3 linked regions of the Nothobranchius furzeri genome follow. The protein of the gene in region 1 binds, or shares a complex with, the protein of each later gene. Links are inferred from orthologs where the notes say so. Each region holds a gene or a part of one and is shown in the gene's direction. Other genes may lie near its edges.

Evidence for each region.
Region 2: nsmce4a (region 1) and smc5 share a complex: the UniProt entries of both Homo sapiens proteins name them as parts of the SMC5-SMC6 complex. The link is inferred for Nothobranchius furzeri from reciprocal best matches to the Homo sapiens genes NSMCE4A and SMC5.
Region 3: nsmce4a (region 1) and nsmce1 share a complex: the UniProt entries of both Homo sapiens proteins name them as parts of the SMC5-SMC6 complex. The link is inferred for Nothobranchius furzeri from reciprocal best matches to the Homo sapiens genes NSMCE4A and NSMCE1.

What each region holds. Positions count from the first base shown.
Region 1 is NC_091752.1:15,327,536-15,333,452, forward strand, and holds the start of nsmce4a (non-structural maintenance of chromosomes element 4 homolog A), read left to right. Parts: upstream 1-1,756; 5' UTR 1,757-2,018; intron 2,019-2,182; 5' UTR 2,183-2,211; coding exon 2,212-2,416; intron 2,417-2,503; coding exon 2,504-2,584; intron 2,585-2,704; coding exon 2,705-2,835; intron 2,836-3,148; coding exon 3,149-3,294; intron 3,295-3,430; coding exon 3,431-3,530; intron 3,531-5,917. Other genes in the region: coiled-coil domain-containing protein 177, read right to left, coding at 1-953. UniProt on the Homo sapiens protein: Component of the SMC5-SMC6 complex, a complex involved in DNA double-strand breaks by homologous recombination. The complex may promote sister chromatid homologous recombination by recruiting the SMC1-SMC3 cohesin complex to double-strand breaks.
Region 2 is NC_091755.1:27,651,370-27,657,599, forward strand, and holds the start of smc5 (structural maintenance of chromosomes protein 5), read left to right. Parts: upstream 1-2,080; 5' UTR 2,081-2,282; coding exon 2,283-2,446; intron 2,447-2,760; coding exon 2,761-2,902; intron 2,903-3,124; coding exon 3,125-3,177; intron 3,178-3,337; coding exon 3,338-3,500; intron 3,501-3,863; coding exon 3,864-3,998; intron 3,999-4,180; coding exon 4,181-4,321; intron 4,322-4,408; coding exon 4,409-4,570; intron 4,571-4,641; coding exon 4,642-4,713; intron 4,714-4,830; coding exon 4,831-5,086; intron 5,087-5,169; coding exon 5,170-5,324; intron 5,325-5,499; coding exon 5,500-5,613; intron 5,614-5,715; coding exon 5,716-5,810; intron 5,811-5,931; coding exon 5,932-6,064; intron 6,065-6,214; coding exon 6,215-6,230. UniProt on the Homo sapiens protein: Core component of the SMC5-SMC6 complex, a complex involved in repair of DNA double-strand breaks by homologous recombination.
Region 3 is NC_091744.1:4,221,665-4,227,617, forward strand, and holds the start of nsmce1 (non-structural maintenance of chromosomes element 1 homolog), read left to right. Parts: upstream 1-1,394; 5' UTR 1,395-1,474; coding exon 1,475-1,685; intron 1,686-2,310; coding exon 2,311-2,439; intron 2,440-2,775; coding exon 2,776-2,897; intron 2,898-3,054; coding exon 3,055-3,132; intron 3,133-3,229; coding exon 3,230-3,376; intron 3,377-5,077; coding exon 5,078-5,194; intron 5,195-5,953. UniProt on the Homo sapiens protein: RING-type zinc finger-containing E3 ubiquitin ligase that assembles with melanoma antigen protein (MAGE) to catalyze the direct transfer of ubiquitin from E2 ubiquitin-conjugating enzyme to a specific substrate.

The sequences.
Region 1 (5,917 bases):
TCTCTCATAAACGTCTCTCTCAAGCATTTGCGCTTTTCTGTCTCTTTTGCTGCAAACTCCAACTTTTCTCGACGTTGTGCCTCTACCTTCTCCTTCAGCCTCCTCCAGCGTTCATCTTGAAGCAGCACCACCTGTTCAAGATGGCCTGCCTTCTCTTTCTCCCGATGCTGCATCCTCCTCTTGCGGGCCTCCAGTTCCTTATGCCAACGTTTCATACTCTGCTTAAGTCTTCTTCTTCTATCTTTATCTGCTTGGACCTTCTGGGTCTCCTCCTCCCTTCGGACCTCCTGCTGCTTTAGTTTCTCCTGCTGTGAGAGCTTCAGGCGATCCTGCTCCTCTTGATGCTTGACCAGCATGAGAGCTGCTATCTTACGATCCCTCTCTGATACTGTGACGCATGTCTTCCTTTTGATTTCAGCTGTGAGCCTTTGCAGCTGCTTTTCCGTGGCAGGTGAGTATGTCAGGTTTCCCAGGTGGAAGCTGCTGATTGTGCTCCTTTCTGGGTCTCTCGTGTCAGAAGCAGAGCAGTTGGACCTGCAAGACTGTTTCCCTTCAGTGCACAGATCGGCATATAGAATAGGCTCTGATGTCTGTTTGTCTGACATTTTTGTTTTAGGCAAAACTTCCAAGCTTGAAGCTGCATTACTCACAGACCTCCTGCTGCCAGACACTGAGACATTCTTCTCCTTCTCCTTATGGCACATTTGTAGAACCTTTGATTTTTCTTTCCTGTAGGATTCATGCATAACCCTCATGGCCTCGAAAGGCATGTCATGCTGCTCTGTAATCAGGTTGTTCAGCGATTTAATTAGAAGCTGAACCGGTTTTATCCCGAGTTGATGGCAGGAATCCGGCAAGCTTGGACTTGCTAAAATGCAATGGCTCTTCTCTGCTCCCACTGACTCAAAATTGTTCAGGTCTGCACAGAAAAAAGGGGACTTCGCCTCCCCCATCTTAAAAGTTCTGACACCTTGACAATATGCTCACATAGGACTGGATTCTACTGATCCGCTCACCTCTACACAGCCTGTCCAGCACGGAGATGAGGTCAGCAGGGGATTACCGTGTCTCCACCTCAGTAGTAACAGGAATAGAGGCTTATGTGTTTTCTGTTGACATAGCAAAGCTGATTTTAGTTAGCAAATTAAATAATGTGTGTGTTAGATTTGTGCTTTCTGCTATATTGGACTTTAGAATAAAATAGACTAGAATAGAATAGAATTCATTTTATTGTCACTATACACATGTGTCTCAGTTAAAAGGCAAATTTAATGTCACAGTGACTTCTAGAGACTCAGCTTATTTATCCCAAATTATGATGCTAATTTAGTTTACGTAAACATTTCTTTAAAATTGATAGAAGTGACACTTAAAAATCTGAGCAGAGACGTTTTGAGTAGGACCTGGCTGCAGACCTTGGACGTTTTTGGTTACCATAACAACACTGCGGCAAACAAAGAATTTTATAAAGAGGAGCACCCGCATTAAGTTGGTGCTGTCAATTTTTGTATTAGCGCCATCTACTGGCAGCGTTTGCCACAACAAGCCACTGTCATTTCTCAGACAGGTTTAATGTTTATATTCAGATAAACATTTCTTCTGGCTCTACCTGTGTATCTACCTCACATAAAACTAATAGAATAATTTTAGATTTATGTTTTGAATTTTTAGATTCTCTGTGTCATATATTTTTAATTTTATTTTTTAAAATAATCCTTTGATGATCTGCTTTTATTTTGACGGGTTGTGATTTGTCACACAACTTCCTGTCTGCACGCGAGAACTCTGGTTTGGACGTATTCTTTGGTTTTAATGCTTGTGTCTTTGCTTATGTAACCTGTTTTATTTTTTTTATGCGTTGCACTTAAATAAAACCAAAAAAGTGCTTCTTCGAGGCGACAATTAACCTCAAACGCTTTTATCGGTGCGACTTTCCAACTCACCTAGCTAACTTTCGTTTAGCACGTCGCGAGGACAAGAATAAACTACAGTCTAACGTTCGCCACGGATAACTCAAGGTAGTGAAATTGTGTCTTTATATTTTTCTGAAGTTCTTAAGAGAACTACGTGTTTACTTTTCCATACAATCGGACGCTTGAGTCGACCAACACTGCCTTTATTTGTTTGAAGTTGACTTTTTAAAGTAATAATTCCCCTAACTGTTGATTTGCGACTTTTGTAGCACGCAGCTAGTTTCGGCAAAGGCTGAAGATGAGGAGGTCTAAAGCTGGCGGAAACGTGGAGACTCGTCGGCAGAACGGCTCCTCTAATCAGTTAGCTGATCATCGTGAGGGGGAAGACGCTAACGGTGACTCCAGCTCGGCTGCTCAGCAAGACGACGAGGATGAAATTAACAAACAGGGCCAGAGGAGAGAGATAAGGAGCAAGTACCGAGACCTCATCAACTCAGTACAACGTGAGTGGATACCCGGACAGCTTTTACCTGATGTTAGTCCTCCCAACACGTCATAAATCCATCTACTCCTTGACTTTTCTCCTTCAGAAAACAGGGAAGATATGCTGAGTCCATCTAACAACAAGCTCACAGAAGTTTTGGAAGAGGCCAACAAACTTTTTAAAGATGGTAGGTGTGATGCAAGTAATTTGTTAGCAGATTACTTCTAATGTTACAATTCTGTGTCCTTATTTAAGTCATTTATCCTGATGCAGCCACTCAGAATGATGAGGTTGATTTGTGTGACAGTTCGACAGCCGAGGGAAGCAGCGCTCGATGCCAAGCTCCTTGTCGCAGCCACAGACCTGGGAAAAGAGAAAGCCAGCCAGCTGTTTTCTGAGGGGAGCACGTTTGATCCTACTGTATTTACTGAGCACCTTGTAAGTGTGTTTACTGTACTATGCACAGCTATAATCACATATCTACACTGTATTTTTCTGAGTTCGTGCAATCAGAAGTCCTGCACTGGTTGCATAAGTTAGTGTTGCCACCTTTTAAAAGTAAAAATAATTTGTTTATATCAGGGAGCAGATTCTGGGTCGGTTAGCAGCGCTGCAAAAACCTCAGTTTTGACGATCACGTGGTCGTGCAATTTGAATTAGCAGTTTTATTTTGAAAATGACAGATGGTTTACCCCAACTGCTACACAAACAACCAAAAGAAGTGTTGAAAGTACCTTTTCATCTCAAACAGCTGTCCTTCATGGGTCTGAACCGACTTGAAGATGAGGAGGATGATCATCAGAATGAAGGTGAGGGCTATCTGCCCAAAGACGCTTGGCACAGACTGGCCCAGAGAACAGAGAGCTGCTTTAAGACCGCACCTTCTTTCCACTACATGTGAGTACCAAACAATGCTACGTACCAGCTATAGCTCGTATTTAAACGGGACAAATGAAGACAAGATACACATACATCTGAAATCCAAATTTCTACAGTTGTTTTTGTTAAGTCTTATTTTGGTTGTCTTCAACAGGATGGGATCCTTCCATGCAGAACCACCTCCTCCAAAGCAGAGAACAGAGCGGCAAAGAAGAGCTCCCAATAAGGAAGCCAAAAGAATGATGCCCACTCAGGTAACTAAACTTGTTATATTTCTGTTACAAACCTGTCTGTGCAAAAGGTTATAGGTAGGAGTATTATCCCTTAAGAAAACAGAAGCCTTAAAGGTGTGATTCACCGAAAAACCAACCACACAGCAGGACTCTTAACAGGCTTGTGTTGCTTGTAGAGATAAAACATCAACGTTGGAAAGCAAACAGAGTCAGTGGTAGAGTTGTGTTGCTGTTTTCAGTTCTGAGGTGAGATGTCCAAATATCAAGAAATAAGACTCCAAATCGTCTGAAGCTACTTTCCTCTACAGTTTACTTGTACTTTCTGATACAGGCCCATCTGAACTCTTCTCAGTATCACAACTTTAAAGAGCAAGTCACCCCCTACCAGAGTATTACTCCCACTAGGGCTGGGCGATATGACGATTTTAGACCGTTTTACGATCTACACATCTGACGGTCTGTCATTTTTGAGAGACCTTTAAATCACGATTCACAGCTCTGCTGTTGAAATTCTGCCTCTGAATGAAAAGGGAACTTACCTCAGGCAAATGACACGCCTTTGTTTGACCCTTAATCAATCAGAGTGAGTCATAGTAATATATTAGTGCCCCACTTGTTTTCACCTGTGTGTGAACAAACATGGCTTCAGCCGTGGCTGAGAGCGACAACGAGGTTTTCGTTCCGAAGAGGAATGCCTTGTCCATTATATGGAACTGGTTTGGTTTTTCACTAGGGCCGGGACGACGCGTCGACGTAATCGATTACGTCGACACGTAAAATACGTAGACGCAAATAATTTGCGTCGATGCGTCATCACGTTCAAAAACAAACATGGCAGCAGCGAGTAGTGGCAATGTGAGCGGGGCAGTCGACTTAAATCACTCAACCCGAACTCGCAGTTCAAAAGTATGGGACTATTTTAACAGAAAAGGAAGCGATTCAGTCGTTTGCCGGCTGTGTAAAGTGGAAATGGCCTATCATATAAGCACGACTGCTATGCACCGGCACCTCAAACAAAGGCATCCAGGAGCAGCTTCTGCAAACAAAAAAACACCGTAAGTTTTCAACTTTTTTTTTCTACTAACGCTGTTTTATAACATCCAAACACCACCACGTAGCCATGCACTAACTCACACACACAAGCAGGCCCACTCTCACACAAAGATAAACACTCAACCCCTGGAACTCACTAACCCTCATTTAAGCTGCTTAGTAGTAACATACAGCAGCAGCTGTTATCTGTTTTGTTTGTTTTTATTCGTGGCTCATGATGGCCAAATGAGTCGGAATGCGCACGTGCTGATTATGAGAATCGGCGAGAGCTGAAAATGTGAGCGAGCACTAATTGTCCGCAGTAAAAATGTTAACAAAGACAATGTAGCACCTGCTAAATGTAGCCGTCGTGGACATTATTACAATATTGTTGAAGTGCTTGCAAAAGCAAAATGACAACGGACTCTTGATTGTCAAGTTTAATGCCTCATCCTGTTCGAACGTTATTTTTTATACATCATGCTCCTCCAGCTTGTTGATCTTATAGATCTAAGTTGCACCATCTAATGACTACAAAAATGTGCAGCATTTTGTGTTAAAAACCTCTTTTTTAACAAATCTTATCGATTAAATATTTTGATTAAACACTAAAATACAGATCTTCAAATTATTATTTTGATATTATGCTTTCTACATAAATATTTTTGTAATAATTTTAATTTATCTGTGTGTTGTTTGTGTGATTTATGTTTTCAGGAACAAACAGAAAAGTCTGGAGGACTACTGTCGGAAAAGAACGCCCTGCACCCCCCAGGAGGTGGCTGTACTTACTTAGAGCATCCTATCTATGATTCTGAAAGACATGAGACCACTTGCTGTGGTTGAGGGTGAAGGATTCAAAGAAATGCTGACCACTTTTCAACCAGGTTACACTCTGCCTTCTAGGCGCCATTTTACAAGCATGATGGAGAGAAAGTATCAAACTTCAGTTGAGAAACTAAGGAACGAACTAAAAAAGGCCTCGTCCAAAATCTCCTTTACCACTGATGCTTGGACAAGTGTAGTCACAGAGTCCTACTTAGGTTACTTATGTTAGATTTTGTTTGTTAAAAGACGCCATTGTTGCTATTTATATATTTTTTTGTTATAAATTTTCCTTGATTTATATGAATCGTTTGCACAACATTTAATTTTTTGTGAAATGTTATCTCTAACATAAGATTGTACTACTATTACAACAACTTTATTTTTGAATTTTTGTTATTAAAATGTGTTCGAATGAATAAATTTGCATTTATTTCATTGAGATACATAAATTAGTAATAATCAAACTGCTATACAAGTCAAATAATTGGGAAATAATCAATAATTTAATCTAATCAAATTAACAAATTAATCGTTAGATTAATCGATGC
Region 2 (6,230 bases), on another chromosome or scaffold:
TCAAGATTACCTCACAACCCCCACAGGACACAGGATGCTAGATTAGTTAATTACCACAGACGCAAATACCACTTAAAACCAACGAAGCATGTAGATGACTGCTCTCCCAACAAACTCAGTCACCAACAAAAAAAGTGTTTGTGTGAATTATCTATTTGAGTACCGGTATTCCCTAAAAAATAAAGTTCTTTAAACTAGGATTTTTTCCCAAAAGGATGTCACTGTATATTTGTGAAAAATAAAAACTCCAACTTTATCACTGTTATTTTGAAATGCTCTCTCTCTCTCTCTCTCTCTCTCTCTCTCTCTCTCTCTCTCTCTCTCTCTCTCTCTCTCTCTCTCTCTCTCTCTCTCTCTCTCTCTCTCTCTCTCTCTCTATATATGTGTATACATACATATATATATGTATATATATATATATATATATATATATATATATATATATATATATATATATATATATATATATATATATATATAATTTATTTATGTGGTTTACTGGATTTAAATCAATCTGTGTTAGATTAAGATCACAGTTGCTCAGATTATTTACAGGCAATCATTTCTCAAGTTATTTTGACCAGCAATTGTGGGTTTATTTGTTAGTAACTTTTTATCAGATGTAAAGTATTCTGTGTTACGAAAAGTGCTCTACAAGTAATCTTTGATTTACTGAATGACAGAAAAATTACAAGAACAAATAAAAACATAATGAAACAAAATCACACACATTGATTTCTCACTGTTGAATTGTTTATATTTTTTAATACTAAAGAATAGAAAAGTGTCTCGTTTACAAGGAACAATTTAGTATTTTAATTTTGATTAGCCTTGCAAAGCTTTAATCCAAAACATTTAATCAATTAAACAAAACAAAACAACAACAAAAAAGAAAAATTGTTGGACTTTTCCCACAACAAACCACTAGATGGCGACAGTCTCCAAGCTGGCCATGTCCCATGATGCAACGCGTGCGCTTCCTTTTATATAGAGCCGGAAGTGTATAGCCATCATAGCATGAGTGGCTGGTTGTGTGCGTGTTGTTAGTTAGCGAGCGTCTGTGTGAGTGAATGTGGAGTATGCATGTTGTATGTGTGTATATTTTTAAAAACCTACACAGTGATCTTATTTGATCTGGTCTGAGTTTGGCTCTGCTCTGACTAGAAATGATAAAAAAAGCGCTCGCGAGCTTCTATGGGGGCGATGAGCAGCCGGCGACAAACACCTAATGGGGCCTCCACATTTCGTGCTGTGGTCAGAAGTGATGAATTGATCAGATATACTAGTTCTGGGTCGGCTTGAGGTTCGCCTTAAAGCTTTACCTGTAAGAACAATGAGTAAAGAGGCGATTCTGATCTCACCACAGCCGAAAAGAAGCCACGAGACCCGCATGTTAGGAAATGGTGAAACAAAAGTGGCTTTCATTTGTATAGATAAAGATGGATGGATGGATGATCTTTATTGACAGACTCTTATGTCCAGATTAAAAAATAAATAAATAAAACAAAACATTAAAAACAAATAAGATAAAAGCATAAACATCTAAATCTATTTAAAAAAACTTACTATAAAGATGTTCCACACAAGAGTAACCACACAAACACTTCAGCCAGTGTTTCCTTATACTGGACAAATAGCGACAAATGCTCACAGCAGGATCAGTGATTGCTAAAATTATACTGTTGGCAGAGCTATCCAGTCGTTCTCTAAAAGTGAACATTAGTTTTCTTAAAAGAGCTTTAAAGTACAAATGCCTGCTGTTACAAACATCTGACTGGCACTGCCCCCTCTGGGTATTTTGAGTATGATTCTTAAGGCATCATTGAATGCAACATGCAGCTTATTCATGCTGCTTTGATTGTAAGATCAAAATTACTGCCCAACAAAACCAAAAATACTGCTCAACCACAGTTGGGCTGTATAAAGCGGAGTACAATATGCTTTAAATAAAGCCACCTTAACTGGTGAACAAAAACTTACGTGCTATAGTATTATTGGCCTGTGCATACAGCTTACAGCACCATGGCATGTAGTCATGCAAATGCTAAAATTGGCCATTAGAGACAAATTCGGACTTTTTTATGAGCAAAAACTACACAAGCATAAAAAAAATTACACAAGCATATCCGTGTTCCTGTTTTACTTTCATACATGTTCTCGTGATAGTTAGCGTTAACATTTTTATGTACATGTGACCTCTTAAAAGCTCAGCAAAACGCGCGAGAATAAGCAACGTGATCGTAGCCGAACCGTAGCCGCGAAGAGAATTTTGTTTAGTCGCTATGGGCGAATCAAGTAAAAGACCGAGATTAAGTCAAATTAGCAGAAACACGCAGACTTCTGCGAGCAGAGCAAGCGTGTTCAGAGGTGGACACTCGGATATTGCCGGAGGCGTTGGTACATTTGTTGAGGGTTCCATCCTTCGCATCACGATGAGAAACTTCCTGTAAGTTGTAGTTCCTTAACTGTCAAGAGTTCTACCGGTAGCCAGCAAACATCACATTGTGCTCTTAGATAACATACAAGCTTATAATAGCACCATTTGTTGTTTTATAAAGTTTTAAACCTTTTGATCACGTAGTTTGCGCACAGAAGTGAACAGCTAGCATACAATTAGTGGTTTAACGGCTCAATTTTAGCTGTTTAAATATAGTGATACAATAAATACAATGTTTTGTGTAAAATTAGCTATATAAGATAACATTTTGCGCAGTGTGACATAACCGAAAACTCCTAAATGTGTTTTCTGTCCACTGACAGAACGTATGACTTCTCTGTGGTCCATCCGGGATCCAATCTGAACATGATTGTTGGAGCTAACGGGACTGGGAAGTCCAGCATTGTATGTGCCATCTGCCTGGGTCTGGCTGGAAAGACAGCAATTCTGGGCAGAGGAGACAAGGTACACAAACCACCTGCACTGGTCTACTTGATTTATTCTGAAAAAGACCATTTAAGAAAGCGATGGAGTCAAGATTTTTATTGGTTTGTTAAAATCACACTGGTAATAAAGACATATAAACATTTGCAGAAACTATTTAATTTCTGTTGTTTATGCACCACAGAGTCATGATTGCTACAAGCTTTTAATGGTTAAATAAATTGATTTAGATTATTTATGCAGGTTGGGCTCTATGTCAAACGTGGCTGCAAGAAAGGCTCTATTGAGATTGAACTGTAAGTTACTTTACATAGATTTTCCTCTATTACACTTTTTGTATTTTTAATCTAAATTCCAGATTGATGCTCTTGCATAACAAGTACCAAGCTAATGGTTGACCAGCCAGATAACATTAGACATGCTTGCATGAAATGATGTCTGTTTTTGCCTCTACAGGTACAAAAATGGAGGTAATGTGATAATTAACAGAGAGATCCATGTAGAGAACAATCAGTCACTTTGGATGCTGAATGGAAGACACTGCAGCCTGAAACAAGTAGAAGAAGAGGTCAGGACTCTGCAAATTCAAGTCAGCAACCTCTGCCAGTTCCTCCCTCAGGTAGGTTTTCTAGATGTGATCTAGCTCAGTGGCCTAGTGGCAGAGTGTCTGTTCTGGGACTGGGAGATCAGGGATTGGATTCCCGGTCGGGTCATACCAAAAACTTTAAAACTGGGACCCAGTACATCCCTGCTTGACACTCAGCTTTAAGAGGTTGGATTGGGGGTTAAACCACCAAATAGTTTCCAAGCGCAGCCACCGCTGCTGCTCACCACTCCCCTCCATGGGGATAGGTCAAATGTGCAGATGAATTTCACCAGTGTGTAATGATGACTATGTGACTTTAACTTTAGTGCTTCACTTGTGCAAAGTAAAACGTGTCAGAAATCTTCATTTTCTAACTTCTTCTCTGTTCTGTCACAGGAAAAAGTTGGAGAGTTTGCAAAAATGTCCCAAATTGAGTTGCTTGAGGCAACCGAGAAGTCGGTTGGACCACCAGAAATGTACGAGTACCACTGTGAGCTTAAAAACTTCCGCAGCAAAGAACGAGAACTGGAGGTGAAACTTTATTTTATTTGTGTAACAGTTTTTTTTTGGGAATAACTGTTTAGATAATCTAATTCCCGTTGAGATCTCAGCTATGTCAGCTGGATTGTTGTTACATGATAATTACATGTTTGCTGTTGTGAAAGATGCAACTCATCGTTTCGCTGCGGTTTTGGCGGGATGTTTGTCTGTAGAACGTCTTGAAGGAGAAGACGAGTTTCCTGGAAAAGGCCAAGCAGAGGAATGAGAGGAACAAGCTCGATGTCAACCGCTACTATGAAAAAAAGCGGCATCTTGACGTCATCGAGCTGCTGGAGAAGAAGAAACCGTGGGTGGTGAGTTATTCACATAAAGCACTCTGCACAAACTGTGGAAACAAATCCAGTTTGTAATCTGATTACCCTCTTTGGCTTTGATATCAGGAGTATGAAACCACTCGTAAGGAGCTGGAGGGTGTGAAGAAGGAGCGAGAAGAAGCCAAAAAGCAGCTTTTGACCCTGAAGCAAGCCCAGGCGCCCATGCTGAAGAAAATCCAGCAGATTGATGAAAAGCTGAAGCCCATTGAGGCAGAAATGAAAGCTAAGGTGACCGAAGGTGGCTTGCTGTCTAAATCTGTTACATGAACATTAAGTTAAACTAACCATGTGTGTTTCAGACTGCTGCTATCAAAGAAGCTTCTCAGAAGTGCAAGCAGAAACAAGATCAGCTGGATCGAAAACATAAAGAGGTGGTGGTGGTGGTGGGGTGGGGGGGGGGGGGGGTGTTGCTCAAAGAAGAGGAAAAAAAAAGTAACAATTAAATGTTTGAAATAACGTCATCCTTGTGGCTCATCTCTCCTCTGCAGATTGATGACATTAAACAGGCACTGAGGATGAAGCAGATTGAAGAGGAAGACCACCAGAAAAGAATCGTCAACACTAGACGGACCATCGAAGACCTGAAGGTGGAGCTGGACAAGCTCGGAGACCAACTAGACACCACCCTGCTGATTTCTGCTATTAGTGTGGAACTTAAGGAGATCCAGGAGAGGACAGCCAGGATTGAAGCGGAAAAGGCCGACCTGCGCAGGGAGAGGGACAACGTCATCGCAGAGTCCAGAAGTGAGTTTAAAACTAAACAGACTTTACATTTAATGATTAAAATAACAGACGGCATTGCTAGGATTTTATTATTTTAATGCCAGGCTTGCAGAAGAAGCTCAATGACATGAACAACCTGATGAACATGAAAGAAGAGAAGCTGCGGACACGCCACAGGGACACACACACCGCTCTCCTTTGGCTCAGAGAGAACAGACAGCTGTTCAGAGGAAACATTCATGAGCCCATGATGCTGGTGGTGAGTTCCATCACTGGAAATGTGTATTACTAGAAGTTTTAGTTGCTGTAAAATGCCGAAGTTTGATGTTTCAACCCACAAGTTTAGTCATAAATGTATTAAATGAAAAATAAAATCTCGTTTTCCTATAAGTAGATGTTAAAACGTAATGGTTACTTGGCCTTCGTTATCACAGATCAACGTAAAGGATCATCAGAATGCCAAGTATGTGGAGAACCACATCTCCTTCCACGACCTGCGAGCGTTTGTCTTCCAGAGGAAAGACGACATGGAGAAATTCTTGGTGGAGGTCAGGGCGGTTTGCATTCAGAACACTGCTCAGCTGAGAGACAGCATTTCTGAGTGTGAACATGTAACTGTTCATAGTAAGAATTTAAAATATTTTCTTCAGGTTCGTGACAAGATGAATCTGAAAGTCAACGCCATTTCTGCTCCGGAGGTGTCCTGTTCTGGACGTCCACCGTCAAGAAACATCGAGTCCATGAGGTGAGAGAGAGTGAAAGTGTGTTAATGATCAGCCAAGGTGGGGGCTGCTCCAGTGTGTTTTCCTCTCCATCTGCCACCCTTTTTATTTATCAGATACGGTTTTTTATTTTATCGTCTGCAGGCGTTTTGGGTTCTTCACCTACCTCCGTGAGATGTTCAATGCCCCCGATGAGGTGATGAGTTACCTGTGTTCCCAGTACAAAGTGCATGACGTTCCAGTCGGCAACGAGCAAACCAAAGCCTTGATTAATACAGTACGTTCTTTTTATTGCATGTTTCTGATTCTCCTTTACACCTAAAGACAATCAGAGAAGATTTTCCCTTTTAAAAGTGGATCATAGGAGCTTTTATTTTAACTTACAAACACAGCTGTTCATAACACCTACTTTGTGTTTTGTTTTTAGGTGATTCAGGAGCCTT
Region 3 (5,953 bases), on another chromosome or scaffold:
CATCCTATGATGGAGCATAAAGTCGATAAGTTGCCCGATTCTTTTTTTTTTTTTTTTGTGCAAGCGAACAAGTCAAATTTAGGATTTGGGATTGAAGTTATCACAGTGTGGTGTTGACTACAGACACTTTGAGTTGAATCTATGCTTTTTAACTGCAGAAGGTTATTTGTTAGAAAGCTGTTTTGATTTTACTCCTAAAAACATTTTGAATGTGGTCTGTTTGTAGAGTCGGGGATAATGTGATTTAAGAAGATATTGTTAAATATAGGGACTTCATTTTAAACACAACTTCATTCTTTGACCTTAATTAATTTATGTTGGATGCAAACACACTGATCACCACGTTGCCCCGATGAGTGCTGTAATGACAACACAACTGTTTTCTGACACATTTTCTGTTGTAACTTAATGGTGAAAAGCTTCAAAAGAAGTTGGAAAATGTCAAAGAATATTAGGAAAAATTCTGCAGTAAAGCTTAATGACATCGGATACTGTACTTAAATGTTAATAATAGGCTATATTATAATCCGAGACTCAGACATCTTGTATCATACGTTCTTATTTAATTTGCTAGAATAATAAACCTTTAGAATAAGTCTTGTTGCTGTTCCTTATGGATGTATAAAGCACCAGATACACTCAACAAACATACTCCTCTATCTAAGCAGCTGAGATAAAGAATGAAGGACCGTCTTCCACATAAGTGAACATTTGAAAAACCTTTCCAAGTGGATTTTATACAAAATATGTTTATAAATGAATGATCATAGTGCCAAATCATAAAAGCCAGTTAAACACCAACATGACAACATAGACCCAACCAACAGGCTTCAGTTTTAAATGTCGTGACAAATTGTTAATTGTTAATTTATTTTCTCACTCAGCAGTTTCATTCATCATTCATGCAAAATACAATCATCAACAGTCTCCCAAGTGAAAAAAAGGGGGAGGAGGAAGAAGTCTTGTATGACCTACCCCTTTCTACTTCATACAATATAATTTACAGAATGGCCTTATACACAAACCACGTATAGAACTTCCTTATCTTTGTAAACAAAATCACAATAAAACGTATCTATATACTTATTCAATATTAACTTATCAATGTAGGATTCTATGATTTTTTTTCTTTATATAGTCTCTTAAATTGATCGGTAGTTTAACATTTTTTCAGGTCATGATGCAGATTATTCCATAAATTTACTCGGTATACTGAAATACACATTTGCGTTAATGTTATTTGTGCAAAAACTCTTTTAAACTCAGGCTTCTTTCTATTTTTTCCCATCATTTGAAATCAAAACAAAAAACTCCTGTAACTTCACTGGCAGTAACCTCTTTTTTGCCCTGAACATAATTAGTAAAGTTTTCAAATTAACCAAATCCCCGAATTTCATAATTTTTGATTCAATAAAAAGTCTGTTGGTATGTTCTCTAGCGTCTACTTTATATATAATTCTCATAGCTTTCTTCTATGAATCTAGATGAAGAGTTTTGTTTATTTGTTAATTCATTGTTTAGAGGGTGCGTGTTCGTAATAGAAGCTGTTGCGTTCGTGACCCTCCTCACCAGCAGGTGGCGCTCGTTCAGCACCACTGGTGGGAAAAATCACGGAAACAGAGAAAGCGCGCCCCCTCGGAGAGAAGGAGCAAATTCTGCTCTTTTTTATTTTGTTGTCGAAAACGGTAAGTTAACAAATGAGCTGCTTGACTGGAAATTTTCTTACGGACACGAGTAAAAGGACGTTTAAAGTTGAACTCACGTGTATAAATGAACAGTTTCCAGCCTTTTGTTTAGTCTGAAGGAAAAATAAACCCTTTGAGACCAGCTAAGCTCTTTGAACCAACGTGCAAACACATGAAGTGTTTCACACAAGCAAGCTGTCTGTTTAGTATTTAAAACGGGTATTATTCAGTATGAGCTATAAACGGAATCATCCTCTTGGGTTTATCTTGACATCAAGTCACACAAATCCTGATTTCAGTCAATTTTCGCCAAAACCTTGTCAAGATCCTGGTTTGTGGTTCTTCATTTGTCTCCATGTGTTTTGGGTTTAATTTTGTGTCGATTCGCTGAAATGTATCATGCAGCTTATTGACTGCAGCGCAGTCAGCATTTGGAGGTTGCAGCAGTTTTTATCTGGTTATATTGAAGTGTTGAAGCTGTCAACATTAACAGGTGTTCACATTGGAAAAGACCACGATGGCACTAAATGTGTCCAAATAACTATTATGCATTTTCATATTGAAATAACTGTCGAGGAGTTGTTTCTATTATGATCTCATTTTTCAAATATGATCGCTGATTCAGTGTTTGTAGCCATGGCACAACATCTGGGAGACAGCCATCGAAGGTTCCTGCAGAAAATGATGGTCAGCGGCATCATTGATGATAAAAAAGCAAAGGCACTTCATCAAATCTGCTGCGAAACACACAAAAGTGAGTTCATTATTACATTTTCACACATTTATAAACATTGACTGGTGTGGAGTAATCAGGTCGGGGAGTTAGTGCAGAGTCCTGAATGATATTTGTAACATTGAATAGATCAGTGTCCTCACTATTGAGATTTTAAGTTGGCATTTTACTTCCAGAGATAATTAAATGGCCTTTAATCATGAATCCAGTGAAAAGAATAAAACATTTAAAACCTCACATGTAGATTCAGGCAGTTTCAGTGTGTTTACCTTACTGTCCGTCTTATTTTTAGAGACTTTATGTTGTCTGACTGTAAAAAATTACCTTCTAAATCACTCTTTTTCTTTACTTTGACAGCACAATATGCTCCTGACAAACTGGATGAGTTCATCGAGACCATCAACTCAAAGCTGCAGCCGCTGTTCATGCAGATTAGGAAGGGGATGTCTGAGGAAAATGGTCAGCAGTTCTACGCTTTGGTTAGTGAATTTAACTCCACTTTAGTGTTCACACTTAGGTTAATTCCCTCAAATAGGAATGTTATTGACGGTCCAGTGATTTGTATCTGTTTAGTATGTCAGGAGAATTATTGCATGTTGTTGTTGAAGGTCGTTCTGCTCTGATTCTTCTGGCCAGGTAAACACGGCTGAAACTGAAATCACCAGGATGTCGTCAGAATATGCCGATAATGAACTGGAGTTGTTCAGAAAGACCGTGAGTGAAGTTTAACTTTCTCAGACATTGTTCTCAAACACACACATACATTTTGCTACTATATTATTACAGACTTAATGACTCTGTTCTAATTCAGATGGACCTGATCGTGAGCTCTGAAAATGGCACAGCTTCCTCCACTGACATCCTGAACAGCGCCGACATGATGATCACTAAGAAGCTCAAGAAGAGTGAAACAGAGCACCTTTTAACTCGACTTGTGAGCGACAAATGGCTTTGTGAGGTAAAATAAAAGTCTGCACCAACATTTGAGAAAAAATATCACAAATCCCACAGTTTTTGGTCATTTTAACCAGTTGTACCATCTCAGGGTTTCCCTTACATAGGCGTAGCCGTGGCGGCCCGCCACAGCTGAAATCCCACCGCTACGCCTACAAGATCCCAAGTTTTTTTTTAATTTTATTGTTATTTTTTTGCGCTGTTTCCTGAAGAAGCAGCAGGAACTACTATGTTGTCGCTTGTGATCACAGCCGGCGGGCAGCAAGGAGGAGCAGGCAGGGCAAGGTGAAGTTACAGCATAAGTTACTGAGTTTAAAATTAGAAAGGTAGCAGTGGATATAATGCTTTTTGGTTTATGTGTTTCAATAGCATTAAGATAAACGAGTGACAGGGTTTCCTCCCCCCACCAGGCTAAGCATCACTTATTCATGTAAAATTGATTTATTTTTTCATGTCTGACTTTAACCGCATCTAATACTGTATTACGGCGTGAGCGCAACAGCGACAACTTAAGATCGATGTGTGAGCAGCCTGAGCGGTCGGGTGTTTCATCTGAACCCTTAAAACCTCCAGCAGGCTACGTTGCACTATTGACGTGTTAGCGTGCGGCGCTAACAACTTAGCGACGTGACATGTCTCGGAGAAAGCGTAAAAACACGTTGGACGCTTCTTCTGAAGCGGGAAAATAACGCTTCTTCTTAAGCAGAGCACGACGTCGCCTCGGCTCGTTCACGGCCGAGCCGGACTGAGCTCGATAACACTGACCCAGCACAGCCACTGGGTCGTTGGAGCTGCCCCGTGACTGCCTGATGGAAAACCAGCGGGTTTCGTCAGACTCGTAGTTTCTTGTTTTTGCTGGGGACCCCCTGTATTTTACCGCTCCCTCCTGCAGTCTTCCCCTATTAACATTTAAAATGATTCTGTAAATTACGTGTATCAATAGAAAAAATCTCTACCTCTGCCAGCTGCAGTAAATGTAGTCTCCAAATAATAAATAAGAGGTGCATTCATCTGTGCATCTCCTTTGATCCGCATTAGTGATGTTCTCAGCACCAGAACAGGGAAGCAAAGAAACAGATTCCTGAGTTTGTTTGTAATTTTATTTATTAGGTGCATCTAACCTGTTCTATTTTTCTCTGAAATGAGATCAAATCAGTGCTTCTATGGGTTGTCTCCACACTGCACTGGAAAATTTTACTTTATTTAGAGACGTGTCACAATCACTCCCCACCCCCACCCACCGCCACAGCTGGGAAAATTCCTTGGGGAAACTGCATCTGATTCTGCTCTTATTTTTTCTAACAATATAGAATTTGTGTGTGAATTTGTAGTTGTGTGTGAGAAACTGTTACACCAAGTTGTTGACTGTTATTAAATAGCAAGCATTGTTTTAAAATTCAGTGTACATATTTATATTTTTCAGACAAACTTTAAATTGAGCTTGAATGCATCCCACAAAAACACATTACCTCCGTCTGCCACACTGAAAGGAATAAAGTTTATCCATTTAGATTTGGTTTCCAGTTCTCTGCACACAGACTTCAGGATAAAAATGCTTTTTCACAGCTAGATTATATATAAAATAACAGATCTAAACAAGTCTCTCGTAGTCTGAGTTGAACAATGACTTAAGAGATTATATTAAAGCAGTTTGTTCCCTTCTTGCTGTGTTTTTCGTGTGATTCAGTGTTGTTTACCCCCTTAGAAACGAGGGGAGTACACTCTGTCCACTCGGTGCATCATAGAGATGGAGCCATACATTCGTGCCATGTATCAAGATCAGGTCAAGATGTGCTACATCTGTCACAGCGTTGCTTTTCAGGTAATTGTTCCCTTTTTACGTCATACAACCTTTTTCTGTTGTCTCTATGCTCGGGTGGCAAATTCCTGAAATTATTTAGGTATTAATACTAGGGCTGCTCGGCTATGGCAAAAATGATAATCGCAATTATTTTGACTGAAATTGAGATCTTGATTATTTAATGTTGAGTGTATTTATTTATTTATTGTCATAAATTTGCACAGGGCACAATCAGAGAGAAAAAAAATAAAGAAACAAGATAATCACAAAACTCCAGATTCCTAGTATCTAAGAGCCTGTAACAACCATTTAACCAGTTCTTATTTTTGTTCACTAGATGTCCTTCTAGAGGTAATTGATGGTACCATATAGGGAGGAAGTACAGGTGTTGTTATATGGACAGAGCAAACAAGCTTTTAACCGCCAACTCTATGGGTTCATCCTGGTAAAATCTTCTGTCTGTTTTGGATCATTTTTTGTATTTTGATAATTGAAATTAATTTGAAGATGGAATATCACTGAGAAGAAGAATAAATTAATCTGAATGAAGCAAGATGATGACGTTTTGGACACTGTTATTCACCAGCCAGCAGTGAATGGAGACAGGTGGCAGCAAGCGTGTCCATGTCAGCGGCTTTAAGTGGAGACTCAGCCGATGCAGAGCAAATACACTTGCTCATCGTTTATGACCGAAAGGGTTTAGGCTGAATTTGAACTTGTTTACTGAAACTCTAATTTCCCTCTGGGATTAATAAAGTATTGATTGATTGATTGATTGAT